Nothobranchius furzeri: one gene and its partners. The main gene of each other region encodes a partner of the protein of the gene in region 6 in a complex. Links are inferred from orthologs where the notes say so. Each region holds a gene or a part of one and is shown on either strand. Other genes may lie near its edges.

What was found.
Region 1: lin54 (region 6) and tfdp1a share a complex: the UniProt entries of both Homo sapiens proteins name them as parts of the DREAM complex. The link is inferred for Nothobranchius furzeri from reciprocal best matches to the Homo sapiens genes LIN54 and TFDP1.
Region 2: lin54 (region 6) and mybl2b share a complex: the UniProt entries of both Homo sapiens proteins name them as parts of the DREAM complex. The link is inferred for Nothobranchius furzeri from reciprocal best matches to the Homo sapiens genes LIN54 and MYBL2.
Region 3: lin54 (region 6) and lin9 share a complex: the UniProt entries of both Homo sapiens proteins name them as parts of the DREAM complex. The link is inferred for Nothobranchius furzeri from reciprocal best matches to the Homo sapiens genes LIN54 and LIN9.
Region 4: lin54 (region 6) and rbl2 share a complex: the UniProt entries of both Homo sapiens proteins name them as parts of the DREAM complex. The link is inferred for Nothobranchius furzeri from reciprocal best matches to the Homo sapiens genes LIN54 and RBL2.
Region 5: lin54 (region 6) and e2f4 share a complex: the UniProt entries of both Homo sapiens proteins name them as parts of the DREAM complex. The link is inferred for Nothobranchius furzeri from reciprocal best matches to the Homo sapiens genes LIN54 and E2F4.
Region 7: lin54 (region 6) and lin52 share a complex: the UniProt entries of both Homo sapiens proteins name them as parts of the DREAM complex. The link is inferred for Nothobranchius furzeri from reciprocal best matches to the Homo sapiens genes LIN54 and LIN52.

Annotation. Positions count from the first base shown.
Region 1 is NC_091754.1:25,779,436-25,783,653, forward strand, and holds the start of tfdp1a (transcription factor Dp-1), read left to right. Parts: upstream 1-1,402; 5' UTR 1,403-1,630; intron 1,631-2,886; exon of another isoform or gene 2,887-3,011; intron 3,012-3,292; exon of another isoform or gene 3,293-3,439; intron 3,440-3,761; 5' UTR 3,762-3,834; coding exon 3,835-3,846; intron 3,847-4,110; coding exon 4,111-4,177; intron 4,178-4,218. UniProt on the Homo sapiens protein: Can stimulate E2F-dependent transcription.
Region 2 is NC_091743.1:41,536,658-41,540,838, forward strand, and holds the start of mybl2b (v-myb avian myeloblastosis viral oncogene homolog-like 2b), read left to right. Parts: upstream 1-1,314; 5' UTR 1,315-1,498; coding exon 1,499-1,518; intron 1,519-1,909; coding exon 1,910-2,006; intron 2,007-2,080; coding exon 2,081-2,152; intron 2,153-2,236; coding exon 2,237-2,329; intron 2,330-2,418; coding exon 2,419-2,639; intron 2,640-2,742; coding exon 2,743-2,875; intron 2,876-2,964; coding exon 2,965-3,024; intron 3,025-3,099; coding exon 3,100-3,306; intron 3,307-3,604; coding exon 3,605-3,877; intron 3,878-4,181. Other genes in the region: uncharacterized protein, read right to left, coding at 1-233, 304-337. UniProt on the Homo sapiens protein: Transcription factor involved in the regulation of cell survival, proliferation, and differentiation. Transactivates the expression of the CLU gene.
Region 3 is NC_091742.1:4,991,312-4,995,516, reverse strand, and holds the start of lin9 (protein lin-9 homolog), read right to left. Parts: upstream 2,857-4,205; 5' UTR 2,791-2,856; coding exon 2,760-2,790; exon of another isoform or gene 2,756-2,759; intron 2,428-2,755; exon of another isoform or gene 2,363-2,427; intron 1,967-2,362; coding exon 1,934-1,966; intron 1,573-1,933; coding exon 1,481-1,572; intron 1,246-1,480; coding exon 1,132-1,245; intron 1-1,131. Other genes in the region: parp1 (poly [ADP-ribose] polymerase 1), read right to left, coding at 4,010-4,091. UniProt on the Homo sapiens protein: Acts as a tumor suppressor. Inhibits DNA synthesis. Its ability to inhibit oncogenic transformation is mediated through its association with RB1. Plays a role in the expression of genes required for the G1/S transition.
Region 4 is NC_091744.1:80,493,686-80,497,318, forward strand, and holds part of rbl2 (retinoblastoma-like protein 2), read left to right. Parts: coding exon 1-103; intron 104-1,682; coding exon 1,683-1,795; intron 1,796-1,856; coding exon 1,857-1,963; intron 1,964-2,091; coding exon 2,092-2,229; intron 2,230-2,589; coding exon 2,590-2,748; intron 2,749-3,022; coding exon 3,023-3,131; intron 3,132-3,205; coding exon 3,206-3,439; intron 3,440-3,514; coding exon 3,515-3,633. UniProt on the Homo sapiens protein: Key regulator of entry into cell division. Directly involved in heterochromatin formation by maintaining overall chromatin structure and, in particular, that of constitutive heterochromatin by stabilizing histone methylation.
Region 5 is NC_091744.1:86,783,008-86,787,241, forward strand, and holds the start of e2f4 (transcription factor E2F4), read right to left. Parts: upstream 2,918-4,234; 5' UTR 2,784-2,917; coding exon 2,622-2,783; intron 1,482-2,621; coding exon 1,372-1,481; intron 466-1,371; coding exon 304-465; intron 1-303. UniProt on the Homo sapiens protein: Transcription activator that binds DNA cooperatively with DP proteins through the E2 recognition site, 5'-TTTC[CG]CGC-3' found in the promoter region of a number of genes whose products are involved in cell cycle regulation or in DNA replication.
Region 6 is NC_091746.1:62,986,662-62,991,028, reverse strand, and holds the start of lin54 (protein lin-54 homolog), read left to right. Parts: upstream 1-1,559; 5' UTR 1,560-1,684; intron 1,685-2,107; exon of another isoform or gene 2,108-2,163; intron 2,164-3,332; 5' UTR 3,333-3,364; coding exon 3,365-4,117; intron 4,118-4,367. Other genes in the region: cops4 (COP9 signalosome complex subunit 4), read right to left, coding at 966-1,039. UniProt on the Homo sapiens protein: Component of the DREAM complex, a multiprotein complex that can both act as a transcription activator or repressor depending on the context. In G0 phase, the complex binds to more than 800 promoters and is required for repression of E2F target genes.
Region 7 is NC_091758.1:32,967,677-32,971,800, forward strand, and holds the start of lin52 (protein lin-52 homolog), read left to right. Parts: upstream 1-1,276; 5' UTR 1,277-1,359; coding exon 1,360-1,378; intron 1,379-2,620; coding exon 2,621-2,695; intron 2,696-2,770; coding exon 2,771-2,808; intron 2,809-2,902; coding exon 2,903-2,969; intron 2,970-3,151; coding exon 3,152-3,235; intron 3,236-4,124.

The DNA of each region.
Region 1 (4,218 bases), on a different chromosome or scaffold from region 6:
TGCGCTGTTCTGCACAACCTGTAGGCGACACATTGATGACTGACACAAACCTGCATATAGAGAGTTGCAGTAATCAAGCCTAGAAATTACAAATGCATGCAGTACCTACTCCAGGTGGGCTCTTGACAGCATAGGCTTGATTTTAGCAAGACGTCTCAGGTGAAAGAAACTGGACCGGATCACAGAGTTGATGTGTGCATCAAATTTAAGTCCAGCATCAATTTTCACCCCCAAACTGGTGACAACTGGTTTTGAGTAGGGAGAAAGAGGGCCAAGATCAACATGACGATCCACATTCCTGCTGTTGGGGTGAAAAACAATGAGCTCTGTCTTTCCCTCATTCAGATGCAGAACGTTGGCCATTAGCCAAGACTCCACCTCGTTAATGCAGGACACAAAGGACTGGATATAGTGACCTTTCTCCTGACACAATGGAGCATCAATCTGGCAATCGTCAGCATAGAGATGGAATGATAGGCCATGTTTACGAAAGATTGACCCCAGAGGAAGCAGATAAATGGCAAACAAAAGAGGACCAAGGATCGATCCCTGCGGGACCCCCCAGCGGAGCCCCTCCCAAGAAGAAAAAACATCACCCAGTTTAACGCAGAATGTTCTGTTGTGGAGATCCAAACCAATCCAGAGCAGACCCTTTGATCCCAACCCATCGTTCCAAGCGATCTAGTAGAATCGCGTGGTCAACTGTGTCGAAGGCTGCCGTCAGGTCTAACAACAGAAGCACCACAGATGTACCCTGATCTAGTGATAGATAGATGTCATTTAGGACCCTCAGTAGAGCCGACTCTGTGCTATGGCCAGACCTGAACCCTGATTGGAAAACCTCAAACAGATCAGCGTCAGCTAAATGTGAGACCAGCTGCTGATAAACGACTTTCTCAAGCAGTTTTGATGTGAAAGGCAGGGTAGAGATAGGCCTGTAATTTTCTATCACATAGACATCAGCATAAGGTTTCTTCAGGGTCGGCCGAATAACTGCTGCTTTCAAAGCAGCTGGGACCACACCTGTGCAGAGGCTCCCATTGATAATCTGACCAAGTGATGGGCCAAGACACGGAAAGGCAGCCTTCCAATTGTATACATTGTATGCAAATGTATTTGTTATTTTTTTAAATCAAATTGTTCTCTTAAGTGTTGGTGCTGCTGTAACAAGTGAATTTCCCTACTGTGGGATTGTTCTATTCTATTCTATTCCATTCTATTCTATTCTATTCTATTCTATTCAGATATATCAGCTGAAATTTGGCATCATTCAGTGTGGTGTGTGGTATTTTTTTCAATCGAATTAAAGAGGAAATAAAAGTGACAGGCCTAAAAACTATTCCTGGTAGATATAATAGCGACTAATGAAAAATCCTCCTCCTACTCCTGCGCAACAGATGGCGGTAAATGCATCCCTGCAGCTGCCTGCTCTCCACCAATCCCAGGAGAAGTAGGTTGTGGGCACGACTCACGTCACTGCTATGGTTACGTCACACCAGTGTTGTCCAATCAGACGCCGCTGTAGCGAGACGCCGCCAAGATCAGATTGTGAGAGGCACTGCTGAAAGCGACAGGCTAGCAGAGAGCCGTGGAAAGGCTAGCTGACGGTGTGCTAACGTGAAGTGCTCTGGTAAGATGCATCCACTGTAGGGTGGCTTCCCACCCGGCGCAGACCAGAGCTCATATACAAGTGTTTAAACGGCCTTTATGTCTTGGTCGACATGAAAAAGTGTTGATATCACACGAAGCTAACAATGGTAAACTTTCTCGATGACAGCTGGTAGTTAGCTTGCTGGCTAGCTAGTGGGCTAACAAAGCGCTGGAGGTTGCGATTTCTCATTGATATCGAGTTAGCTCGTAGCTTTGATAACCAGTTGCTAACTAGCGAAGTGTTGATCATCGATCTACTTAACGATCTTGTCATGGTTTCTATTACCACGGTTATAACTTACTAAACAGAATATGCAACAGGACTTGTTTAAATAGTCCGCAGACATGAAGTTTGAAATATGTAACTCATCTGAATGTAGAAAGAGCTTTCACTTTCTTTTACTGTAACGAATTAAAATAAACAAATTTTATTTGTTTAAGCCACATATTCATTTAAATAAAAATTTAAAGCGTGATTAATTGGCTTGAAACATTTCAATGAAGTTTTTAACTTTTTCAAAAGTGTACTTTTTGCACAAAAAGCTAAAATATCGATTAATTAGATTTGTTTTGTTCTGATTTACTAGGTTGTTGTGACCAAGAGGCCCATGAATGAGATCAAAACTACTGAGAACGTTTAAGAGAATGTGATCAGTTGTAGCAGATAATTGCGGAATCCCAAAATATAAAATTACTTTACATTTGTATAACTTGTTTATTTCCGATTAACATTATATATTAAATTTGCTATTTCAACTGATTCCTTTTGCAGGCCCAGGTCCCTGAATTAATGGTGTCAATATAGTTTTTTATTCACTTCTTTGACTTAATTACTTTAATATGAACTCCTTTTAGAAGAAATGTAGATCAAATCTATGGGCTTGATCCACACATTATGTTGTATGTTTATTAAATTGAAATGTAGTACCTGTTAACATACTGTTGTTTATTTACCATAATATGCAGTTTTAAAATGTTAGGTTTAATTTAACTTGAAAACTGGTTAGTGCATTATATTCATGACAAAAATGTTGTACAGCTCATTTTGCTTGCTTTTGTGATCAGTTTCTCTGATGAGATGAATGATGTTTAATGGTTAGTCAGCTGCCAGACTCGACCAACAGGCAAATCCTGGTATCAGTTTTTGACATAGCGACAAAAAACTGACCTGAGGAAAAACAACTCTTTAATCATATGCTTAAGTTCTTTAAAGGAATAACTTTGATTTATGAATAAAATAGTTTTAAAAGTACATTAGGATTGCTGAGTTTGTTTCCTGTTTGGATGGGATTTAGACCTCCTCTTCCTCCATTCTCTAATGCCAACAACAACAGCCGTCGAAGAGACAAGAGAGTGCACTCGTAAGTGCACGGATTCGCAATTTAAACCCCTCTAATCGTGCAAAACGCGCAGTGCTTTTTTCCAATATCAGTTCTTACTTAAAGAAGGCTATAATCTGCAGCTCGGACCAGAAATCTCTGAATTTTCTGCCAATCGTGTGAAAACGTGCATAAGCTAACTAGCAAGCTAAGGAGCAGCAGGCTGTTAGCAGTAACGGTTAGCCGGCTGTAGTCAACAAAAGATTGTTCATTATTACTGACATGTGGTGTGAAACCTGCTTCTGTGGTGGACTGATTTACTATCTGTAACTATATTTTAATCTCCGTGGAGAAAAATCAACAGTTTCGTCAAAGTTGGCACGTTTTCGTGACCTGTAGCAGAAGTTGGACGATGCCTCTCCTCCGGACGTGATCGGTACCTGAAGTAGGCCTTGTGCACACATAGCTTGGTAAAAGTTGTGGGCATCAAGTGAGGGTTGACTGTGCTTTTTTGTGTTTACATCTAAAGGCTAATGACGCAGCGGTTTGTACAATTAGCTGTAATTTCCGCCAGGTTTGTTTTGCTAACTGAGGAAAAAGTGGAGTAAACATGATGATGGAATTAGCTTAGTGTAGTGTGCTGTGCTCATAGCCAACCATTGAAATGGGCCTGGGTTCATAAATGAGTGCAAAAGCTCATTCAAATCCATCTGTGCCGTGGGGATTTATAGGAAAATGTTATAAATAAGTGAAGCTTGAAACTTTTGCTCACAGCTTTCATTTCTTCTGCAGGGGTCTGAACACTTGAGTGACAGAAGGAACAATTTTTTAATCTGAACTAAACTCCTTCAGGTCCTTTGGGATCATGGCTAAAGATGTGAGTAATTTCCCTCAATATTTTCATCCATATGCACATTATATCTTGTAGCCAGATGAGATGGTTCTTGTTGTTTTAGCATACCTATTATTCTAAACCATCATTAATGTTTGACAATAAACCCAAATTGCAAAATGATCCAATTACCCATTTGGTGTAATTTAAGGAGATATGCACACTTAAGCATCCATTATTGCATCACTACTATCTTATATTATTTTTAATATTCTATATTTGCAGCATAATGAGTTTTGTCTTTTACAGGCTGGTTTGATTGAAACAAATGGAGAGCTGAAGGTTTTCATCGATCAGAATCTGAGCCCTAGCAAAGGTATAACTGAACCATCTTTTGACTTTGTTTTTGTTATTTTC
Region 2 (4,181 bases), on a different chromosome or scaffold from region 6:
TGTGTTGGAGCCGGAGCCCAGAAACGAAAACCCCCGACAAGGAGAAAGGAGATCCGTTGACAGACAGAGGGAAGCCAGGATAGATACTCTGCCCTCAGATCTGTTCGCTACAGCTTCATTTGATGCTCTGGAGAGGGACAGGTACTCCAAAGACAAAGCAGACAGCAAACCCTGTTCTCCAAAGAACTTCCTGTCCAGCTCTGATGGAGATGAGCACTCAAAGCTTTTCAGATCTAGAAAGATAAGTAGTTAAGAATGTGAGCTTCTCATCAAAGGTAGCAACAAAATCACCAGCATGCTTACCTTTAAAAACAAAAGCTTTGTCCATGGTGTCCATTGGTCTTCAAACACCTGGCCAGCAGCAGGTGGCTTTAAATGGTTGAAGCTGCTTGTTAATTGGCCCAGCTGGAGGCTGCTCATCAGTCGGGATCAGAGGAAACGTTTTCTGTTTGGGCCGATGTGTGTTTGCAGTTCTGCTTTAAAAAATACTGTTTCATTTATAAAATGATTAGAATGGCTTTTAAATCTTTATTGAAAAGAAAACAAGACAAATTTACAGCACATGATCATAGTAATCTGCAACTTGGGGCCACAAGAGGCTCTTTGTGTCTCATATCTTGGTGATTAATTATATTTATTTTCAAAGTTTCATAATAAAGGTCTTTGTTTGGTTTCTGTCCAGTTTTATGCAAGTTTATATACATCTATAACAATTTGATACTAATGACACCTCTGTCGATTGGTTCCATAGCTTATTGTCCCTGATCTTTTACTCAAATTCACCACAAAGTAAATATATTTAAATAAAGTTATGGCGAGTATTTAGGACTCATTTAATTAAACATGACACATTGATAAAAGGGTTATCTGGCAAGTTAGAGAAAGAAATAGAGGTATAGCATATGTTAGATTTCATAGTGGAATAGTTTAGTGTTTATATTTTACCACAATATTGTTTTTACACTTACAGAGGGAGTGCCTTTTAATTTGACCTCCAGAGGAAAATCACATATTTGGCTAAATATATTGATTACAAGCCAATTACATTAAGTGGATAAAATAAATAAATATACTAGGATTAATCAGAAGAAAGGACAATTGAAGAAACGTGTTTCTTGTTTTTGAGTTAAGAAGTTTCGAGAGAAATTGTGAAATTTCTAGAATAAACAAAAGCTTGCTACGCTCCTCGTTCTTTTATTTTGAAAGTCTGGTGGGAAGTTTGACATCTTCCTGCGCCTGACTGGTTCGACCGCGCAGATCTGGTGCGCATCTACGTCACTGCTCTGGTCGAACGAGAGTGAAGGGCGCGAGATAGAAATAAGAAGCGCGGTCGGAATGGGCGCTCAGCGGCTGCTGCTGTCGGTACACAGAACCTCCAGCGCCGGCCCCTCAGAACCACACCGGGACAACGGTCCACTCCAACGTAAACACCTCTGTGCGCGCGCGGCGGAAGGAGGGAATATCGCCGTGTGACAAAGTAAACAAGTGAAGCAGAGAAATGTCTTCGTGGTCGCGCGGGTAAGAGATCGATCGTTGTTGCCGGATGTTGTTTTTGACAGTAGCAGAACTTGTTAATCTACTGATGTCTGGACGTTACTGCCTAGCTTAGATGCATTTGCAGCTGCAGTTAGCGGAAGGGAAACACGTTAGGAGGAGTTTTATTGTTGGAATTGTGACTCACGACTGCCGCCCTTTTCCGGGCTGTAATCACGAACAACAAGTCTGAGCAAATGAATCCTTGTCCTGCCCTCAGCAGTACTGTTGGTTGTAGCTAGTGAATTATAAATAATATAACCATGAAAACGCGCAAGTCCGCTCGTTTAGCCTCCCCCCGCCTGTATGGCCTTAGGGCGGGCACTGGCTAACTCCTGGTGTCTTCATTAATCAGCTGTGCACATGTGTTTCTCAGCGAGGATGCAGACGAGGCCATGCATCAGGACACTGATTCTGATGTGGCCGAGCCCAGGGATGGAGGGAAGGTGAAGGTGAAGTGGACTCAGGAGGAGGTGAGTGTGCTGACTTGTCCCAGATCACGTCGTTGTGGGTCAGCAGACCTGAACACACTGGGTTGTCTTTACAGGATGAGAAGCTTAAAGTGCTGGTTCTAAAACTGGGTCAGAATGATTGGAAACGTGTTGCCAGCTGCATCCCAGTGAGTCCCGCTGTTCTGGTCTTTAGTGTTACCGTCTTCGAGTCACTCCTTTAGCTCGTTCGTGCCTCTCTTTGCATTCTTCAGACTCACACCGAGCACCAGTGTCAGCACCGCTGGTTGAAGGTCTTGGATCCAGAACTGGTCAAAGGTCCTTGGACCAAAGAGGAGGATGAGAAGGTGGGCTGCGTTTCGTGTTGTGGATCAAGTGTAGAATATTTCTTGAGATTGTCAAAAAGATGCAACTGAATTGTTTGTTTTTCTTCCAGGTCATAGAGCTTGTTAATCTCTACGGTAACAAACAGTGGGCGATGGTAGCCAAGCACCTGAAGGGCAGACTGGGAAAGCAGTGTAGGGAGCGCTGGCACAACCACCTCAACCCCAACGTGAAGAAGTCATCGTGGACTGCTGAGGAGGACCTGATCATCTACAAGGCCCACTGTCTGCTTGGAAACCGCTGGGCCGAGATCGCCAAGCTGCTTCCTGGAAGGTCGGAAAATGTTGCTTCCTGTTTTCTAAACAAGTGGGAGGATGCACTGATTTGTGGTTGAAGCTGAATCTTCTGCTGAAAGGTCTTGTACATCGTTTAACAGGACGGATAATGCTGTGAAGAATCACTGGAACTCCACTATAAAACGAAAGCTGGAGATGGGCTTCTACGCCAGCGAGGTTTTCAGAGCAAACGAGCTGGAGGAGCTGCTGGCGCGCGTTAGTAAAGACGTGCTGGTGGGTCGTCTCCCTCCACCAAGCCTCCTACATCAGCAGCAGTCTCACGTGTTTCTGATTCGAACATCTTGTCTGTGGTGAACCAACAGGTCGCTGGATGCTCTCAGGATGGTTCGGACAAAGAAACGGATTCAAAAGTCCGACTTTTAGTAAGAAATCATCGCATCTATTAAAAACTATGAGCTTAAATGTTGCATCAGCCATCAGTCCTTATGTTTTTACAGAAGTCACAGGAACCATCGGCTCCTGCTAAGAATTCCCACGAAGCAGAGTCGTCCAGGGCTGTCTCCTCTCTAAAGGACGTGTCAAGCCCCAAGACCGATGTGGACTCCACAGGAGAGACGAACAGTTCCAACTGGGTGGTGGACAGCTCTGGTTTCCTCTACCCTACAGGCCCTGTGCTGAAGGAAGTGCTGGACATGGTAGACGGGGTAAATACCCATAATTCACCAGAAAAATAACAAACGCATCTCTGAAACTAACTAAAGTTTAATCGTATTTGATTATAAGAAATGAGAAGCAACTCGTTGCTCCGGTTTAGTTAAATAACCAGTTGCAGCAGAAAGATGATCACCGGTGCAGCAGTTAAATCCAGGTGGTGCCTTTTTCTGTCCGTGTTGTTTTAAAGGATTATTCTATTCTATTCTATTCTATTCTATTTAGTCGACTCTTTGTAAAATCTAGCGGATACCAGACTTGTAAATAAAACGATATCTCCTGTTGGTGGAGGACTTGGACGGCTGGTGCAACCTGGCAGCCTTCGACTTGCCCGAGGACAGCCCCAGCCCCGAGCGCCACCAGTTCCGTCTGGAGGGCAGCGCCTTGCAGGAGCTGAGCAAGTGCAGCAAGGGAGAACTCATCCCCATCTCCCCCGGAGGAATCACCCCTCCCTCCATTCTGTCCCGCCGCAGCCGGAGACGCATCGCCCTGTCTCCAGACGTCAATCGGTCCATGACTCCAAAGAGCACCCCTGTCAAAATCCTGCCCTTTTCTCCGTCACAGGTGAGGAAAAGCTCCATGCTGACGGCACCGACGCTGGTTACACGTCTCCGTCATCCGGGTCATGGTAGTCTGATGAAGGCAACTGAACTTCTTCGGTTCTTCGCCTAAAAGAGGCTTAATGGCAGCAGGACAGAAATAAATGCACCGATATGACATTTTTGGGCCGATATCCAAATACTGACATCAGTGCTTCTAAAATCAGCAGGTTTTGCATAGAATGAACACATTAAAGCTGAAGAGATGATTACAATCACGGTCACATGACTAAACGAATACACCCCACCCTCTTAAACATAAAGAAGAT
Region 3 (4,205 bases), on a different chromosome or scaffold from region 6:
AAATGTTTAAAATGTTTCGTCCTTAACTGTTGTGAATGGAGAGCTTTTGGGGGACGGCAGGTTGTGTCAATTACGCTTTTGATAAAAAATAAAAAGCAATTATCTGACATCTTCAATTCATCGATGAAAACAAATCAATATGAAATAATCGTGACGCATCGGGATATCGAATCGAATTGAATCGAGAGACAAGTGAAGATTCACACCTCTACTCTACAGGAACTCGGCTCTCACTGTTCACTTTGAAAACGTGTTCAAAAGATTCGATTTGTTCATGAACGTCACATTACTACTGTGCGTTCATCTTTTTACAGCTTAATCTAATGCGTGAAACGTGTCCTCAGCCTTCATTAGTTTAAACAGAAGCGGTTCATCACTAAATCAAACAAATCAGCTGTGTTCAACATGCTGGAAGCAGACTGCAGCACTGGCATGTCAGCTCAACTTTACAAGGTCCAAAAGGGACCGGAAACTGAAGTTGCAAGTGTGATTTTCTGGCCATAGAGGCGGTGGGGTCTGAGTGACATTTTATTAACCCTGTAAAAGGTCATTTTAGCACATATCGGCTCAAGAAAATGATTTAAAAATATGAAGAAGTTGTAAAATATGCCTTTAAACAAACTATTTGGAATGAATGAACCAATGTTCCCAATAAAATCCACTAAAATGTTGCTTTAGAGGGCAGTATGTCAATATAATACTGCAGAACAGGTCAACCAAGTTCATCTCCTCTTCCTTGAATGCACCAACACCCCAAACTGTTTTGGTGCAACTACAAACAAATTTTATGATCATAAACGTCCCCAAAAGCAACCATTAAGTCATGATTAAATGTCACAAGTCAGCATTTTACACACACTTTAGAAAAGAAAAGCAGAAAGACCATCCTATGTATAACAACCTTATTGAGTGGAGTTCTATGGTCCTTACACCTTCGCCAAATAAACGTTACAGCAGTTTCAAAAGCTTAAGATTTTCCTGCATCTTACGTGCATGAACAGCACACACATGCACAGAACAACTCTTTCACTTCCTGGTTTTACAAAAAAAAAAGATACTCTTGAGTAATAATTTGTACTATCAAGCACTTTTAATGATTTTGAGACCCCGTGAAAACTTTGGCGTTTGTACCTGTGGTGTAGTGGAGACCCTTTGGCTCCTCCGAGGGGACCTGGAAGAGGGACGCTGCTGCGGCGATTCATCTTCCTCCCGAAACAAACGGCTTCTCTTAGAGCTCCTTGTAGGCTGAAGACACAAAAATTAAGTTTTCTCAGAAGAATCGATATTTTTTTTATAGAACTGTTTCTCGACAAATCTCAATTATGCCTCCAAAGTGTCTTCAAGAAAGTCCATTATTAATATTTATTCAAACTTTTTATGACAAATATACAAATCTTATGTAATTGTAGCTTTCCAAACAATAATAAATGCGTTTCTAGTTCATCTTAATTAGTCATGATAAAAGTGATCATCGTTTTACCACGTCCATTGTGACAGATGAATGGCGTCCTCTGGTGTTGTGAGCTCTAGTGAAACTGTTCTTCTCATTCAGAGTGTTAGACAAGCTGCCCTCTGTAAAAAGATGGATTTGTACAATAAATTGTGAACACAATCCACATAAATTTAATATGCTTTCTGACCAAGTTTGTGCTGTTTTTATTACTAGAAAGAAAGCACGAACTGCTGACTTTATTTTGTAAAAACATGCAGGCAGTGCAGGTCATAAGCTTGGTATTATGAGGGTAATACACAGCTTCATGTGTGTGAGGGGCTTAGGAATACTAACCACTTTTATCCAGGAGTTTAATACATATATGGCTCTGACCTAATCAACGTTCATGTTTTTAATGATAAAAACATAGTTTACGAAAAATCTAAATCCAGATCATTTTAACAGTACAAAGAGCAAATTAAAAATAAACAGACTAAGTACCTTTTAAACTGACCAGGGCCTCTGCAGAGGAGCCTAAGGAAGATGGGAAATTGTGCAACATCAGTATCAATTAGCATTATTAACAGCTAAAACAAATGTCATTTCATCAACAAATGTAGGAAATCAGATATCTCCATGTTTGAGTAAAATGCTAATATTACTTATGCTATCAAAGAACCAAAATGACGTTCGGATCGGTCAGATAGGTTGAGTTAGAGGCCTTTCCTCCCAAGTTTCAGCTGTCAAACACGGGTCGAAACATCAGCTTGACAGGCAACACCAGACATGGTGAAGCGAGCTGATGTTACCACGAACTGAAGGTCATATCTAATTACATTAAATTTATTTAGATCCGTTATTTCAGTGTAAAAAGCCAAACCAATAAATGATAACAACAATCGCGTAACCATGTAACAAGCGCTAACAAACCTTATGGTAAGAAAATACATTTCCAGGGAGAAAGATGAGGAAAACTAAGCCTGATTACTCAAACACAGAGTCATTAGCTGCGGTAGTCCTATTGTTATTGTAGCTCTATTTATAAGGTTAGCAGCGGTTAGCTCACAGCTAAGCTAACGGGATTCGTTTACCCAGTTGAGCTAAAGTAACTTCTTCAACTGCTGTATTAGCTATAGTTAGCTCGTGGTGCTAGCAAGCAGTAGACCGGTTTCTACATCCAAACGCGGCTTATAAAGTCAACCCAAAACCTACAATATTTGCCGTATGAACGGTGCTATCGGGTTTCCGCCTGCTGTTTATCTTTTTTATAATAGATTCGCTGCTTGTTCACACTGTAAAACTGACAGTATGGTGTGTTGTTACCCACTCTCGTCTAACAGCTGGTCCATCTCCGCCATCTTGAATTAGCCGCGCCGCTTTTCAAAGACTTTGTCAAAATGCATTCTGGGTTAGAATCCGTCTGGAGGGCGATTTGAGACAAAAAATAAACAAACTGATACAACCACCGGCGCTAAGTCACTTTGTGTCACTCTGACTCATAAACTGTAAAGTATATTTTATATAAGTACAATATTTTTGTTGAAACTTGGTACAGGAATGCAAGAAAAAAGATGGGTGTGGATAACAAACCTTGACTCCACTTAGACGTACTGGAAATGTCCTTTGTCGGATTTAAGAATTCAGACACAAAGTTAACACGTTATTTAATGTTTTACGTTACCTCTACAATAACTAAATTAGCCTATGAGCTGTACTTTAAATATTAAATGCTTTAAGTCTATCAGGTAGTCTCGTGATCACGTTGTTGCTAAACTCATTTTTATCTCGTTAGTATATTATATGCATTTTTTTATTTCACGGTTTTTACATCTTAAACCAAATCAAATTCAAGCACTTTCAAGGTGAAATCAAAGGTTTTCCACCATAAATATTAATTCAACTGAACATGTATGCTTAAAACGCGGCTGTAACCAACTTTATTTAGCTAAAAACCAAAAATGTTAAAGCAGTTGAAACACTTTTAAGAACACGAAGCATTAAGGACATGACCTTTGACCTCCCATAAGATCATTTACTTTCAACATGTTTACAAATGGTAAATAAATGCATTATAGGCTGATTTCCATTCAGAGTAAAACAAAAACATAAAGACAAAAGTCTTTACATGTCCCGTGCTTTATTGTGATTTATGGAACAAAAATTAACACAATTTTCATACAAAAAGTTGTGGAAGACGGCTTGAGACAGAAACAACTAAACAAATATGTACATGTCAGACCTTATACAGTATCATCAAGGCTACTTCAGAAAACAGCCATTGAAATAATTCTGGTCTCAACTCAAAACCCCTTGCAGACACTCTGTAACACTTTAGACGTAAGCTTATCAACAGATTTTCATGAACTGATCAAATTAAAAGAATGAAATCGTTAACCATCATCGTCTGAGGCTTCCTGTATTTTCTACAACCGTCCTGTTGTGATTTCAGTTTTACAAAGTTAACGTGATCCTAATGAAGGCTGCCTGCTACAGAACCATGAAATAGCTGTAAAGTGGTATAATATTCCAGGCATTTGGATGCAGAAGTGGTGTTTTTCTTCAAACGTTGCCTTTTTTCTACCACAGGGATGTCTGGTAATTAAACTTGATCTTCAAGAGATACTTCATGTTTACCTGTGCCACATCATAAACAATGTACCTGGAGGAGCAGTGGTTAAGGAAAACAGAAAACAGGATTGAACGCAAAGGAATAAAAATAAAGTGCATGTGTGACGAGTGAAATAAAGCTACAATAAAGACAACAACAATGTTT
Region 4 (3,633 bases), on a different chromosome or scaffold from region 6:
TGGCGTCTCCGCTGTCTACCGCTATGAAGAGTGTTGGGCGCCTTCACACTCTGCTGTCAGGAACCAGATATGGGCCAAGCTCCAAGTTGACACAGATCCTCAGGTATGGGTTCTGACCGGACTAAGAGAACCCTCAGGTGTCAGGTTCTGATCCGCTAACCTCATTACTCCCACCCCACCATGTCTAAAGGGAATCACTTTGGAGATATTGTGCCGTATGGATGGTTTCGCTGGCATGACAAGTAATTCAGTGTAAGAGAGGTTGAGTTGGAGATGGTGGGATTTCACCCATCTTGATATGTCAGAGTCTGAGATTCGTTCAGAGACTCTGTGGTCGTCCAGCGGGAATGGCCGGTAGAGCTGGGTGTCATCAGCATAGCAGTGGTAGGAGAAGCCATGTGATTGAATGATCTCACCTAGTGAGGTGGTGTATATGGCAAAGAGAAGAGGTCCTAGTACAGAGCCCTGGGGGACTCCTGTGGCAAGATGGTGAACAGCAGAAATTGTCCGAGCCAAGATGCACTGAAAGATCGTCCTTTCAGGTACGATTCAAGCCAGGAGTGTGCTTTCCCTGCGATGCCCATGCTAGAGAGTGCGGACCAAAGGAAGCCGTGGTTGACAGTGTCAGATACAGCCGATAAGTTAGTTACATTTTAAACATGTCAGAAAGAGCGCGGCATGCGGGGAAATCCGTCCGTCCAACCAGTCATGGGCGTGCTGAATCAGCCTTTAGCTAACCTGTTAGCTTCAGGTTTTAGTCTCAGGGCTGCACTTAGAAGAAGAAGAAGAAGAAGAAGAAGAAGAAAATATTTCTATAGCGCCTCTCAAGATAAAAATCACGAGGCGCTTCACAAAAACAAAATATGTAAAAATATAAAAAAGCATTTAGAAAATGTTTAAAAATATATTAAAATGAGCAAAAATAGGCAATTGTAATTAAAAAAAATGTTAAGAAAGAGAGAGAGTGAATAGGAAAGAGGGAAATCAGTGGATCCTGAGGAAGGTGGAATAGGTGGGGAGAGCAGAATAAAGAGAGAGTGGTGAAGAAGGTCATACAAAAGCCAGCTTGAACAAGTGAGTCTTCAGCTGCTTTTTAAAGGAGACCATTGAGTCCACTGATCTCAGGCTCAGGGGGAGAGAGGTCCAGAGTCTAGACTTAGAGCACAGTTCGGTCAGATATCAGGTCCGTTTAGGTTCTAACTTGTGGATTCTTGTGGATTACGGCCAGCTCGGCACCGGTGAGGGAGTGTGCCTGATGAGTAAGCCACGTTTTATCTTGTGGGACTTTTTCTGAGGATGTGCACAGGTGTTACAGTGGTGCAGAGGTTAGGCATCCATTCTGTAAAGCCTAAAGGTCAGAGGTCAGCTCCACCACTGACCGTGCTGACAGCTGGGAACAGCTGTCTCTGCTGCAGTGCATTGTGGGTAAACACATCCACCTTGGTGTCTCCGTGGTTTGTTCAGGTAAAATGCTACCAATCTGAGCTGCTGTGACCTTTAGCCTCCCTGAAACTGAGTGTTGACCTTTGACCTTAGGGTGAACTTGCTGCTTTTCCAGGTTTGGTTTGGTGAAGCCGGTTTAAGGTTCTGGTGAGGTCCAGTTCTGATAGACTAAGCCTGACCTCTGACCTTTAACAATTTACATTGACTGGAAGTCTGGAGTGCGGCTGTTTCGGTTCCAGGGGCTGTTCCAGAGACCCCAGTGATGTCATCAGTCAGCGCCTGAAGGACATGTTAGACATCTTCACACAGCATCATGAGGACAGCACTGATGACAGCAAGGGGATGGAAAAAGGTGAGGACCTGAGCCCAGTGATCAGCTGATCTGCTGTCCCACCTGACCATGTGTTGTCCAGCAGACATGGCCGTCAAGTTCTTCCACCTGAGCGAGGCGCTGTACTACAGGATCCTGGAGTCCATCGTTGAGAGAGAAAAGATGATCCTGGGAGACGCTGACCTGTCTGTGAGTACAGTTCTGGTCTCAAGGTCTGGACTCCTGACCCAGGGCGTCTGGTCTGGACCGGGGAGGTTCTGTGTGTGATGGTTACCAGCTGTGACTGCACTGAACCATACCCCCTGTTGGTTCTGCAGTGTATTCTGGAGCAGGACGTGTTCCACCGCTCCCTGCTGGCCTGCTGCCTGGAGATCGTTACCTTCTCCTACAGACCTCCAGGAGACTTCCCCAGAGTCATCCACACCTTCCAGCTTCCTGCTTACCACTTCTATAAGGTACCAGCTGGCCCGACCCGTTCTCAGACTGAGTCCAGATTAGCCAATCAGGAAGCAGCATGCTGAGCTTCATCTCAGCTATCGGCACTAGTCAGCAGCATCTGCCAGACACTGCTCAAGACAACAATAATATAAACAACAATAATTGTAATAACAACTGTAATAATAATAATAATAATAATAATAACAACTATTTCATCATCTGATGAACGAACTAATACTCATAAAAACTCACGTTTACTGTGTGTGTGTGTGTGTGTGTGTGTGTGTGTGTGTGTGTGTGTGTGTGTGTGTGTGTGTGTGTGTGTGTGTGTGTGTGTGTGTGTGTGTGTGTGTGTGTGTGTGTGTGTGTGTGTGCAGGTGATTGAGGTGCTGGTCCGGTCGGAACAGGGTCTGTTTCGGGAGGTCGTGAAGCACCTGAACCAGGTGGAGGAGCAGGTTCTGGAGAGCCTGGCTTGGACCAGCAACTCCCCGCTGTGGCACAGTCTCCAGTCAGCCCAAGTCCCGACCTGCCAGGAGGTCCATGAGAACACAAACAGCACCTGGTTCTACTTCACCTGTAGAGATGATGTCATCTTCTTACTGAACAGATGATGTTGGAAACATTCAGAACCTTTTGTTTACCAAAGTCTCAGAGATATGAGGAGGCTTTAGGCTGCTCACAAATAAAATTCAGTGGTTCTGAAAGTTCTGTGGGTCAATCAGTGTGTGTGTGTGTGTGTGTGTGTGTGTGTGTGTGTGTGTGTGTGTGTGTGTGTGTGTGTGTGCACGTGTGTGTGCGTCTGCGTTTCAGGTGATGCCTCCTCAGTACCTGGAACAGAATGAAGACAGCGGTGGGGCTGGCATTGCCCTCACTCCAGCCTCACAGGGACCAGACCTCAGCACCAACAGCACCATCACAGGTGATTTGTCAGCCATCTTGTCTTACTCTTTTGTGTTTCTGTGTAGAAATAATTTGCCCCTCCGTCTTCTGAAGGCGTGTCCCCCTCCCCCACCACCCTGCAGGACCGGTATGGCTCCCCCCCCACAGGTGGATTTCGTCGCCGTCTGTTTGTTGACCCGACGGAGGGTGAGACCAGCGCCACAAGAACACCACCGAGCAGCGTCACAAAGCCGAGCCTCATTGCCACCATTCCGGCGGGGCAGACTGTAGTGGCGACCGCCACCGTCACGGCCAACAACGGGCAGACACTGACTATACCTGTGCAAGGTAAGGGACTCAAAACAATGAGTTAACTACAACAGGTGACCTGTAACTATGTGCTGACCTCTGACCTCTTTGTAGGGATACCCAATGAGAATGGAGGATTCACTTTCATCCCAGTGCAAGTGGGCGGGGCCACACTTCAGCCACTCCCTGCCCAGAACCTGACCAGCACTCTCGCCATCCAATCAGCTGTCACC
Region 5 (4,234 bases), on a different chromosome or scaffold from region 6:
AGACCATGACATAACTAGCAATTTATGCTAAAAAAAATAGACGAGAAAGCAAAATTAAAACATCAAACTCTCACTGAAACTTTGAAATATGACTAGCAGTGAAACATTAAGATGTCTGGCTTTAAATCATGTGAAAAGTCACAACTTTTTACAGACTGAGTGATAATCTGTGTGACTTTTAAGTGCAAAATTGGTCGAATACCCCTTTAGGTGACCAGGTGCTCACAGTCCACATTATTACAAAACTCTCTCTTGAAAAAGTTTAAACATCCGCATGCACGCACACACAGCAGTGAAAGATATGGGCTGTTGTTGGAGTCGTCTGTGACATTCTTGATGCTTTGTTGAACCCAGACTCTTTGCTGGTCCAGCTCGTGTTCCCGGACAGCCAAGTCGTCTAGCTCAGCCTTTAGATCAATCAGCTTATCTGCAATCTCCCTGGTGTTGCAGCCAGGGCCGACACCCCTGAAACACATTGGTAAGCACGTGGTCATTCACATTCAACAGGCAAAGAAAACTCGCCGTCAACCTTTTTCCCAGCATAAACGATGAACTTGTAGCCAAAACAAGCTGCAGATAGATTCATCTCACGTCTAACTCAGGTAGAAGACATGCTAATCAGCCATGCTCATAGTCATTTCCCTTACGGCATTGTTTTATGTATGTAGGACATTAAAGAGCAAGTCACCCCCAAATCAACTTATTTTCTGATAAACTACATAAATGCGTGTCTAATCGTGCTGCAGACACGTGTAGTCAATAGTTTTGCACTTTAGTGCATTTTAGTTCAAATTTAAATTTTCTGCCTAAAACTGTCAGTGTTGTGCCGTTGTCAGGTAAAAACTCTGCACTGTATTTGAATTTAAATCTGTCATCGCTATTGGCTAAGAGGTACCCTAGAATGTTAGCTGGTTCCATATGATGTCACAATGTCGTTGTGATCCTGTGTGTGTTTGTTAGCGGCTCCACCCTCTCGGTCTGCTAGGCAACAGCATTTGTTGCATTTTTCAAACAGGAAGTGGGAGGGGAGTAAGAATCTGGTAGGGGGTGACTTGCTCTTTAAGTGTTAAGGACTGCTGCAAAACCTCAAAGTCATAAATATCCTCAAAGTATTGGCATATGATATGTTAGTATGATTACATATAACAAACATCACTACAGTTTAAAAATTGAAAGGTGAGGCTCAGACAATCGTGTTCAGAAAACTGCAGCCGATTCAGACGTAATCCCTGTTACATAAGACAATGATGAAAACATGAAGGCTTGATGTTTCATGAAAACATGAAACATGAAGGCTAAGAACAATTTATTACAGACTGCAGTTATAAATTCTAGTCTTTTCATGAAGCCATACATACAAATAAAACTTACTTCCATTGAATACTGTTCTTAGATTTCTTCTCTATAAGACCAATTCCTTCCAGGACATTAGTAATGTCGTATATACGTCGTTTTTGCCGCACTGCCAAGGTATCTGCTGCCTGAAAGAAAAAGGACAAATACAATGAATAAAATATGAATAACAAACACACATTTGGCTCTTTTGCACAGAAAATGTCATGGCTGAGTGTAAAATACACAAAAAAGATATATTTTACAAACCATCTGGGTGTGACATCTACACTTCCTGCCCAGCCAAGTCTTTGGGTCTTAGGAGATAAAAACAATTTGCAAGGAGCTGATAAGTCTAAGCTTTTTCAAATAGCTGGACTTAAGTCAGTTGGACTGAACGAAAGAGAAAGAAAAACATCTGAGCGTCTGGTATTTTATGATCTGCAGAGTGCAATGCAACCATAAGTGCCCGCAGCCAGGAAGCTAGTTTATGAAATTATGAAGTCAAGTTAATCTAAACACCACCTGGTTTACTAGACTTTGGCTCAGAGGTGGCACTGTGTTTATAAATGTTTCTGTTTTGGAGCATTACTAATCTGACAAGTCTGAGGTATCTGAATTCAGATGTTTGTCAGGACATGTGTATTAGTAGTACTGCATCAAATAAGTAGGTTAGTTCTCAGCATCTTGACATTACTGAGGAGGCATATCCACTACTTCTACGTGTTTAAACACAAAGATTTGCACGTTTTTGGAATCGGACTTGATAAAAACCAATAAGGAGCTATGCTGCGTTTGTGTACCTAATGGAAGTGGGCAGGTCTCATTAAAAAAACAACACATTTAAGATATTTCCTAAAACTAACGCAGTGGGGGTGCTTATCGTTCAGAGAGAAAAGGCCATACCCATCAGAAAAAAGAAACTGCTCAAGTGTGAAGATGCCACACTATGTTACTAGCAACAAAAGCTGACCCACTTTTGAGAGTTTGAATCTGCAGGGGGCAGAGCGAGTCTGAAAAGTTGGCCGGTGTTGTTTTCAAAGTTAATTTCACGTCTGACTGAACGGTTCGTGTCTATGGGACGCTAACACACCGAGTCACCAAAATAAACAAAGTTAGAGTATCACAAATGTTCAAATACTGTAAACCCCGAAGCTAACAGGTTACATCCATTCAAATTAGCATGACAGAGCTAAGCTAAGCTAATATGCTAGCGAAAGTAACGACAGCGGGTAGGCTCTGTATGACATGTGCTAGCTGACAACAAAGACTCCGGGTTGAATGCTCACAGCTTTCAAATCCAGCACTCCGTCTTTCGCCTCCTGTAGCAAGGTCACGAATTTGGTCGTGAGCAGTCCCAGGCTCTTTTCATGCCTGCTTGGGGTCTGTGGCTGCAGCGAATCTCCCACCGCTCCCGGGTCGCCTCGGTTACTAGCCGACTCCAGCTCCATCACTCGGGACAAGCTCCGTACTTCCCCCCGCTTCCCCGACCAGTTCCAACCCGCGAGCACAGGAGAGCTCCACCGCCGGAGTCGAGTACACAGCAGCCCGAGATTGCGTGGTGGTGTTTTTTTAATCCGTGTGGATTAGATTAGAAAATAGTTGCCCAAATGTATCTGAACACGATGAGTGCTGTAATTCAATGAGCAGGCAGTCGGTGGTAGAGAGCCGTTGGCCACGCGAGGTATGACGGGACGGTTCAATCGTACAAGGGAGTGTCTGAGAATACTCACGTTGTTTAGAAGACGTGTACAAAAATAAAATAGTGGCTGCTTAATTTAAAACAAAAGTTCATTAAAATTAGCTGGTAAATATTTTATATTACAGATGAGTTGTATCAGAATATGTTTGCATTGTCTTTACGTATTGGTTGCATCCATTAAAATTATGAATTATACGTATTTATTTAATACTACAATTTATGTGCTTACCCTTATCTACCCAAACACGCACACGAACAGACGCGCACTTTTACGTGCGCAAAAAACCCCACTAAAGTCTGCACGTTCTTAGTAGTTCATTTGCATGCAAATTAATTGATTATGTTTCGTTATTATTTACTGTAATTTTGTTTGTTAAATTTTTACTTTATTCTTCGTGTCAGTTGGACCAAGAGATGAGCAAGACTCAAGTCAAGGCCCGGTCATTTGTTTTTCATCACATCTACGAATTATTTACACAAAACCCAGCTTTAAACGTCCAGGAAGGCATATTTTTGTTATGGAGATGTGACAAGCTGTCATAAATGAAAAGAAAAATATCATACACGGGTGTTGCCATATTACTTAAACAATGCATTGGTACATCTGCTAGTTACAAAAGAATGAATCATATTCCATTAATTATTTTCTTATCCTATAATAACCAAGTTATTTTGCAGTATGGTTTTGACACACACTAGTTGTCAACCTTCCGTACTTTAGCTTTGTGTACAGTGTATAATTATTGTCTTTCCAGAACTGCGCTGCTCTGGGCGGCTGCATGTTGGAGTTGACTATGTGTAAGTTTTGCCTTTTCTTGGGCATTTTTCTTCTAGTTTCTCAAAAAAAACTGTATTTTTTGGACACTTTACTTTTCTGTTTCTGGTGCTGTGAAGCTTGGAGGATTTTTACTGCTATGTTTTAGCTTTTTTCACTTTTTGAGCATTTGTTATGATGCGTAACTATGGCAACAAATGGTTTACAATCAGGAGCAGCTGATTAACATTGGAAAGGCTGAAATATTACCTCAACTGAAGCCACAAATCCCAAATGAGCTAAACGCAAGAAGCGTGGGTGCAGAGCGGGAGCAAAACGGAGACAGAGAAAGAGGAAATTCAAACCATCTCTTCCATCGATCATAATGGGCGATGTGAGATCACTGGCCAACAAGATGGAGGAACTCCAAGCCCTTTCAAGGACTC
Region 6 (4,367 bases):
TAATGACGCCATCGACATACGTGTAATACGTGCAGTACGAGAGGGAAATGTCGAAGTAACGAGACCATTTTGAAAATGTAAGGAGTAGAAAGTACAGATATTTAGGCTCAAATGTAGGGAGTAAAAAGTTGTCAGAAAAAAAATACTCAAGTACAGATACCTAAAAAAACTACTTAAGTATTAGTACTTCCGTTACTTCCCATCCTCTGGTATTAACTCCAGAGATATTAAGATGCAATTGAATTAAAACATTTAGCAAGAAGCTTAGAAGAAATGTTGCAGCTCTACATTGTTATACATCTAAAGAGCATTTATGGAATTTTGCAGATGTATGAAAACCCCAACATCTCCTCATTTGATCAATATTATTTTACTAATTATCAATAATTAACAAAAACTACTAAACAACTATGTATCCTAACCCGATCATGAAAATCACTCATGAAATACGTGTGTACAATTTCATTCCAACATCTAAAATCAAATGTTTGAGACGAATTTTCTTTTTTAAGGTCACAGGATAAGTAAATTGGAGGACATTGTTTACAATTTTAGTATCATATGGAAGTTATTTACATAATATCCAAACTAATCTGACAGTGACTTAAACTGTTTAGATTCTTAAATTTTATTATGGGTGTTAATTGCAGAAAACACACAGGATGCACGGAGTTTCAATAGAAAACAAGGAAAAACACGCATTTGTTTAGCCAAATCAAGGATACGCTAGGGACAGCTAGGAAGCTAGATTCTAAATAAACCAGTATTATTTCACCATTCGTCTTTAGAAATACTGTAACGTTAAGGCTCACAGGGAGAGCTAGCTAATAAGCAGCTAACTGTAGCTTAGCCTAGCCTACACATAAGCTACACGTAAGCTCGCAGAGACTCGCTGTTGCGGTAACGTAAAAAAAAAACATTTTTATTAAAAACGAATGAGTGGTTCTCGATTGAGCGCTACATACTTGGCAGCAAGGTCTTTGTGAGATCCACTTGAATTCATCAGCTGAGTAAGCTCCTGTCTCACCTCGGACGCCATTATTGTGCGTCACCTGAAGTGAGTCGCGCATGCGCAATTGCTTCCCGGTATTTTCTTGGAATCTGGGATGGTTCTATGGGATGGTCATGGAATAACCACAGGAATAACGCCCCAAATCTCGTAGTTTTCTTTTGAAATAATTTATAAGACGGGTTGCTACTAAATAACTTTATAAACGTATTTCCCTTTTCTCTTTCTCATCTCCTCCTAGTAGTTAAATTGTTGCCACTGGAGGGCGTGAATACCCCTTCTCTTTTTCATTATTTTATTTTTTACTTAATTGAAAGATGCCAATGAAACAGTCAAATACATGCGTAACGGTATAGGATAAAGAAATTGCGAAATTGCAAACATGTACAAAAAACTCAAAAGAATAAACAAAGATGAAGATAATAAATACACATTAAACAATAAGTTAACACCAGACTATTGATCACATGAACACAGTGATTTGGCTATATGTTACAACGGCTTGCCTTAAAAGTGCTGTACCTTTAAGCGTAGCGTCACAGTGACGTTCTACGTGGAGGGCGTGGCCGGCCTGTGAAATGTCAGGGAGGAATGGCGCTCGGCGCGGTATTTTGAACAATCGCTTTTTCCTTTTCTTGTTTTATCTGGAAGCCCTGCCCAGCGTTAAAATCTTGGGTAAGAACGATTGCGTATTGGCTTATTCTAATTATCACCACACTTTATCTCGTAGGAAGCTGCAAGGTTAAGAATGTGTTTCATGTTGAGATATAATGTTGTGCTAGCTAGCTTGGGTTAGCAGGCTCGTTAACTTTGCTGGTACAGTTGTCCTGCCCGCTGGGTTGGGTTGGTGAGGCTGCAGCTGATTATGTAGCCAGAAAGTAGCCGAGTATTTCTCATTAATTAAAATTATATATTTGTATATTCTTTGTGTTTGTACACGTATAAAATTAAAATAACTTTGAGTGTTATTTGGTGCACAGATTCTGGGTTAACTTAATGCACCGTAAATGGAAAGTAACCGCTTTTAGCTGAACAGGGACATGTTTTGACGGAATCTCAACCGACTTCTGCGCGAATTTATTTTTCTTTCTTTATATTTGGAGTCATCAGACCCAGTTTCTGTGAATTGTTTCAAGTTTACGGAGCTGTAAAGCGTAAGTTAGTGTTTTTGTGTCATTTTCTCGTTTATTCGGGGACACCGCTGACGTAAAGTAAAAAGTAATGTCACGAATGATTTAATAAATGTCCCATTTAATACTGATTTAGAACAAGCCCACCGCAGGAGTAGAGACCGTTAGAGCAAACTGTTGGCAGTTGCAATAACTGCATCGTTGGCCCAACGTTACGTTCAGATTAAATATCTCAGGTGACAGGAGGAGGCATTATTGAAAGCTAACATTGTTTACATTGTCAGTGCGCTGCTAGAGTTTCGGACTTGTTCGTGACACACGGTTCATCGCGATTCTCCTCCTCATTCCTGTTGAAGTCGCGTTATTCACGATGAGTTCTCTCTGTTAATACTCTCAGTGGGATGTAAAGAATATTAAACGCATTCCCTTCTTCAGTGTGCTAACCGGAAAGCTAACCGAGTTGATGACGAGGTAAAAATGGCGGATCTTTCGAAATCCAACCCCGGCCTGAAATAGTAACGCAGCCAGCAGAGAGCTTGACGTTTCCCCCCACTCTTTACACCCCAATTTACATCACTTCTGGGGAGGTTTTAACGCAAACGGGGAGCAGTCATACCCAGCCTCCGTTTGTTCGCTCCCCCGTAGGGACGTGAAAGCATCCAGGGCAGCTGCCGGTGTGTGGTTTGGGGCAGAAAGGGGTTCACATTATGTGCGTTTCGGTGGATTAATGTTGAGCAGAGAGCAGCAGGACAAAGATACGCCTGAGATGAAACGCTGCGGCCTAGCTAAACCACCATCAGCTCTCAGCTTCTGTCAGAACCACCTGAAGACAAATGGAGCTCCTGCTGCGTTTTATTGCTGATAAAGTCCCACGTAATTACTGTAAACTACCATACAGGTCAAGTTATCAGACCGGCTAAGTCGCTAGCGTTTCTGTTTCCTGCTGTTTCACTAGCAAGATGTTAGTCTGCATTTGTGTTAATCATGAAAAAATGTTTATATAGGCATTTGAATCACGAAATATTTCAAATGACAATCGGTTTATTGCCCCAATTCTACCTCCGTTTACTCACTGCTAACTATAAATGCAATATTTTGGTGAGTTTAGGCAAATAAATGCCTAATGCAACCCCAGATCTTTGGGTTTTTAACATTTTTGACCTAAACTAAAATAAGCTGCTTTGTTATTTTAGGTTTTTCAGAGTGCTGAGACAGGACAACAAGCATGGATGTGGTGTCGCCAGAGCTCAACAGCCTCCTTCCTGATGAAATCATGGATACCGAGGCCATAGAGGACGTCCCACACTCCGAGTCTGATGGCACTGCAGTCCAGTCCCAGGCAAGCCAGGACACATCTGTTCCCATGGAGACAGATGCACCCATGCAATCAGAAAATTTGAGCATCTGCTCCAAAGTCCCTTCAATAGAGCACACCCAGACTCTGACTTCCTCCAAAGCTGCAGACTCCATGCTCACCATCAGTTCTGGAAATGAGCCGTCTGTCTCAGTTTCCACTTCTTCGACCCTCCTTTCCCTTAAATCAACTTTGTCTACTTCCACGGCCACAACCAAAACGACAGACAGCGTCACAGGGACTACTGTTTCCACAGGCGGCTTACAGAAGCATGCAACTCAGTTTGCATTCTCTGCAGCCAACCACCAGATCATTCTTAATAAGGTGGCCTCATCTCAAGCCACAGAGGCTGTGAAATCTGCAGGGACGCCACCCCAAATCATTAAACAGGAAGGACAAAAACTTTTGGTGACAGCAATAGGAAAGTCGGGGCAACCTATATTCTTTCAGTTGCCCCACACAGGCAGCAAACCTGGAGTATCACAGACTGCAGGGAACACCAAGTCACCAACGCCACAATTTAAAGTGGTAACTATTGGTGAAAGGACGGAGCTGAAACCAGTGATGGCGAGTTCTGGAAACCAAGTGACCACGTTACAGGCCCAGCAGCTGAAGACTGTACAGGTAACGTTTATTGATTTGTCTTCACTGCACAAAAAAAAAAAACAACTAGATGCCTATAATTTAGTTTTATGTGTTCTGTAAAATTACTCCATACAAATGATAGTTTTGACCTATAGGGAAATATATGCCAACAACACTGATTATTAGCTTTTAATTCTGTTAAGTGGTGCTAGTTTGATCACATTTCCAGCTAGTAGGCATTAATTCAACCTTTGATTCTCAGTTCAAACAGACATTAACTAAAGTTTTT
Region 7 (4,124 bases), on a different chromosome or scaffold from region 6:
ATGCTGTTAACACTAATTTAAAACCTGCATTACTTTTAAGTGATATAATTTATTTAGAAAGTTTATAAGTTAAGAAACAAGTAACCAAATTGAATATGGGTTCTTTTTGTTCTTTGTCTAAATAGATTTTTACAAGACGGACTTAGTAGAAACTCTTGCTCTATTTTTTAAAACACTTGTTTCGTTGAAAGAATGGAGAATGTGCGCCCTCTGCTGGCAAATAACAGAACAACACAGGTTTCCAACTGCATGCAGACAAGAAGGGAGTATTTGCTGCCCTCTAGTGTCTGAAATTTGATACTGCACATCCGATTTTTAAATCCATTTAGAAGGGAATATTTAGCCTCTTTAGATTTTTCAAAAATTCAATCACATATAGTTGCTAGCTCCGCTGGCAATAAATAGAACGACACTCTAATTTCCAACTGAAATCTGGTACTGCACGTTCCTTTTAGACATTCTGAAGAGAATATTTAGCCTCTTATTTTAATAAAGCTTAAAAAAAATCCATCTCTGTTTTAACTGCTAATAGCCCCAGCTATAGCTAATAGCTAAAATTTTGTTGTACACAGAAAAATAAAATAGATTTGCTGATTTTTAATTTTTAAGTAGTTTGTACAAGTGAACTAGGCCTGGGACGATAACAGATTTTGCAGGACAATATATTGTCCAACAAATTATTGCCAATAAACAATATTATTGTTGACATTATCGAGACCAAAATAATCACTTATATAATTTTAATATATCATAATAATGCAAGTACACCCTTTAAAATGCAGCAAATAAAACTCTTGTTAACATTAGAATGTTCAGAATCGAACTTCTAAATAAATGAATAAAACAAACAAACAAAAAAAAGAAATAAATAAAACGGACTTTCACTCACTGTTAGAAAATATTGCACCAAAAACCATAAAATAGATCCTGTATTGGGTCATCAAAGAAAAAGGGTTGGGAACCACTGACCCAGACTCTTCGAACTTGGACCAAATTGTTGTACACAGATAGCAAAATCTGTTCAACATAGATTGTGATATGTAAAACCACAGATCTATTTGTAAAAACACCGATTTTCTTTTCTTTCACAAATGTTGGAATGAAATTGTGTAAAATTGTACAAAATGTTGAAATGTATCTTGCCTGGCCATGGAACTCGCTGTGTGCTTAGCACCCCTAAACCTCTGATGCTAGGATCGCCCCTGACACTTATTATAAAATTATTAGTTTATTCATTTTACCCCCAGGAACACGGCTTTGGTGTGTAAGAGTGACCTCTTGTGGTGTGTTTGTGAATTTACAAGGCTTTGTCAACATTGACTCCTATTCGTTGTCACGGGTCACGTGATTATTGTGAAGATGGCGTCTCCGAATGGAGGTAAATTTTAATTCCTTACACAGATACGCTGTTAAAAAATGTAAAATTTAACACTTTAAATCACACAAATTATTCCACGAATGTATTGATGATGTAGCTGAACACCCAGAATTCAGAACTACACATATCAGCGTTGTAGTCCGACTTCTCGGAGGTGGTTTTGTTTGACTGAAGGCTCCACTAGCCCCGGTGTTGTTAGTCCACCAACGTTCAAGGAAGAACAGTAGACAGCTGGCTGCAGACCTTCCGTAACTCCTGATATTTTAAATACTACTAGCTTTTGAGTTGCCTCTTTGTTAAATACTGGCCTAATAATTAATATTTACGACATTTTTCCAACATTTTGAGGCATTATTTGTTTCACATCAACATATTTTGAAAGGTTTTTGAAAGGTTATATATATATATATATATATATATATATATATATATATATATATATATATATATATATATATATATATATATATATATATGTACACACACACACACTATGTAGGGTCATGTATTAGGAAGCATAATGCTAACACAAATTGTTACACTAAATATTGGTTTTAAGAATAGTTTTTGAATAATCAGCACACAGTTGTTGTCACAGCCTAGCAGAAATGGTTGTATAGGGACTTGAATCAAGCAACATTTAAAAATGAAAGGTATGATAAATAAACTAAACCTCCCAAATATTAGTAATTTTTTTAAGAACAGCTGATTAATCAGTATTTATCTTGTACACATATTTTGTTTTAATACAGCCAACATATTGTATTAACTGTTGTGGTTACATTTTGACATTTGTTTGGCTGTAGTCATATGGGCCATTCCCATCTGTACCGGGTCGGTCCGGGCCGGGTAGCGTTGGTTGTTTACATATCTGGGTGGCCTGGTATTTTTCCGGACCAACCAAGGCTCATTCTCAGCCCTCTTCTCGAGGGGGTCTGCTTCAGGCCGACCAGGGCCAACACACCCACTGCTGACAGCAAATTCACACCTTCCATTAGAGCAAGCCTCTGATTGGTGGGTAGAATCAGCCCACATGGGCGTAAGACAAGGATGTGTGGAATCAACCGGGCCAGGATGGGGCCGACTGGGGCTACCCGGCCCGGGCCGACCCGGTACAGATGGGAATGGTCCATAAGTCACACATTTTACTTGTATTTACATCAAGAAGATCACATTTTGTTCTAAAGCTCTGAAATTTCTGCCTGAATTCTGAACATAATTTTACTTCCTTTTCTTTGCCAGGTGATGATTTTGAAAGCTCTTTGCTTAGTTTAGAAAAGCTGGACAGAGCGTCACCAGACCTGTGGCCTGAGCAGTGTAAGTTTTCATCTCCTCTGTGCTTCTTTATGGTCCCACAGTTTAACCTTATCTGTCCTGTCATTTCTCACACAGTACCCGGAGTTGCAGAATTTGCTGCATCCTATAAAAACGTAAGATACGTTTTTTGTCATTAACTGAGATTAATACATTAAATAATCATTTAGATTTGGCATTGCCGTATAATATCATTTATTTTTATTACAGCCCATTACAAGCTCACCCCCTAAGTGGATGGCTGAATTGGAAAGCGAGGACATCGAGATGTTAAAAGGTTGGTACAATTGTTTTTTTTTTTAATATATGTTTAATTAGAAAGATTTTCTCTGTGCCTGCAGCGTTTCATGTTAAAACTGTTGTACTGGTTAGTGTTTCCATAAATATATAATCTTGTCAAGGAGAAACTGAGTTGATCAAACTGGAGCTTAAAATCTTTGCCTTGTAATCACTCTGCAGAGCTGGGTAGTCTGACAACAGCTAACCTGATGGAGAAGGTCAAAGGACTTCAGAACCTGGCTTACCAGCTGGGTTTAGAGGAGTGTAAGTACAAAACACACAAACAACATGAAAACATAGGCTGTGATGTGTTCGTGTAGTTTTTAGTTTTCCCAATCAGCTGTTTACGTCTATCACCACCAGGTGGTGCTAGTAGCCTTTCCACTACTACGTTTAGTTGCAGAATCAGATTTACTTTTTGTTTGTTCAAAATAGGCTAAAATCACATGGATGTTATTTATTATTCAAAATCAGAGTAGATGTTATTGAAAGTGCAATTGTAATTTAGAGTCTGCATAAAACAGGTTGGCCGTAAGATCTTTAAAACAAGGATTTAGGTCAGTCTTGTTAAATGTAAACAAGTAAGAAATGAGTGCATGCCACCAAGAGCTCACACAAGCAAATGCTCAAGAATATGATGGATGCACAAGCTCTTGTTTTAATCCATTCCCTCCCGCCTCCATTGTAATAATCCTTCTGGAGTGTGGATTAGAGAGATGTAGCTAAGTGCTGATATTATCCTAAAAGAAGATAAAAATGTTTTTAATGTTTCTAGCGTAAGAGAATCGTTGTACACCTCCTCTTCAGCGACATGTGTAAATAAACTGAAATGGTAGCAAATTGTGTAAAATAATGTGAGTTTAAACAGCAGGGTAGATGGCAGCCATGATGTCGGTTCTTTAATGATAATAAATAGTTTGTAGAAGGTTTAATAAAACTTTAATGCCACTTTAACAAGAAAATGTTCATCTATAATAAAAAAATCACCCCAGAGTGATCTACATTTGGTGGTAAAGCAAATCAATATTTTAATGTTGCAGAAATCAGATTGATTCATTTTGTGAAATAATTAATTTTAGAAATGATTTGTTTGCCTTGCCTCCAGCAGAGGAAGTGTGTAGTGGCTCTGGTATGAAGACGCTAGCTGTCATAG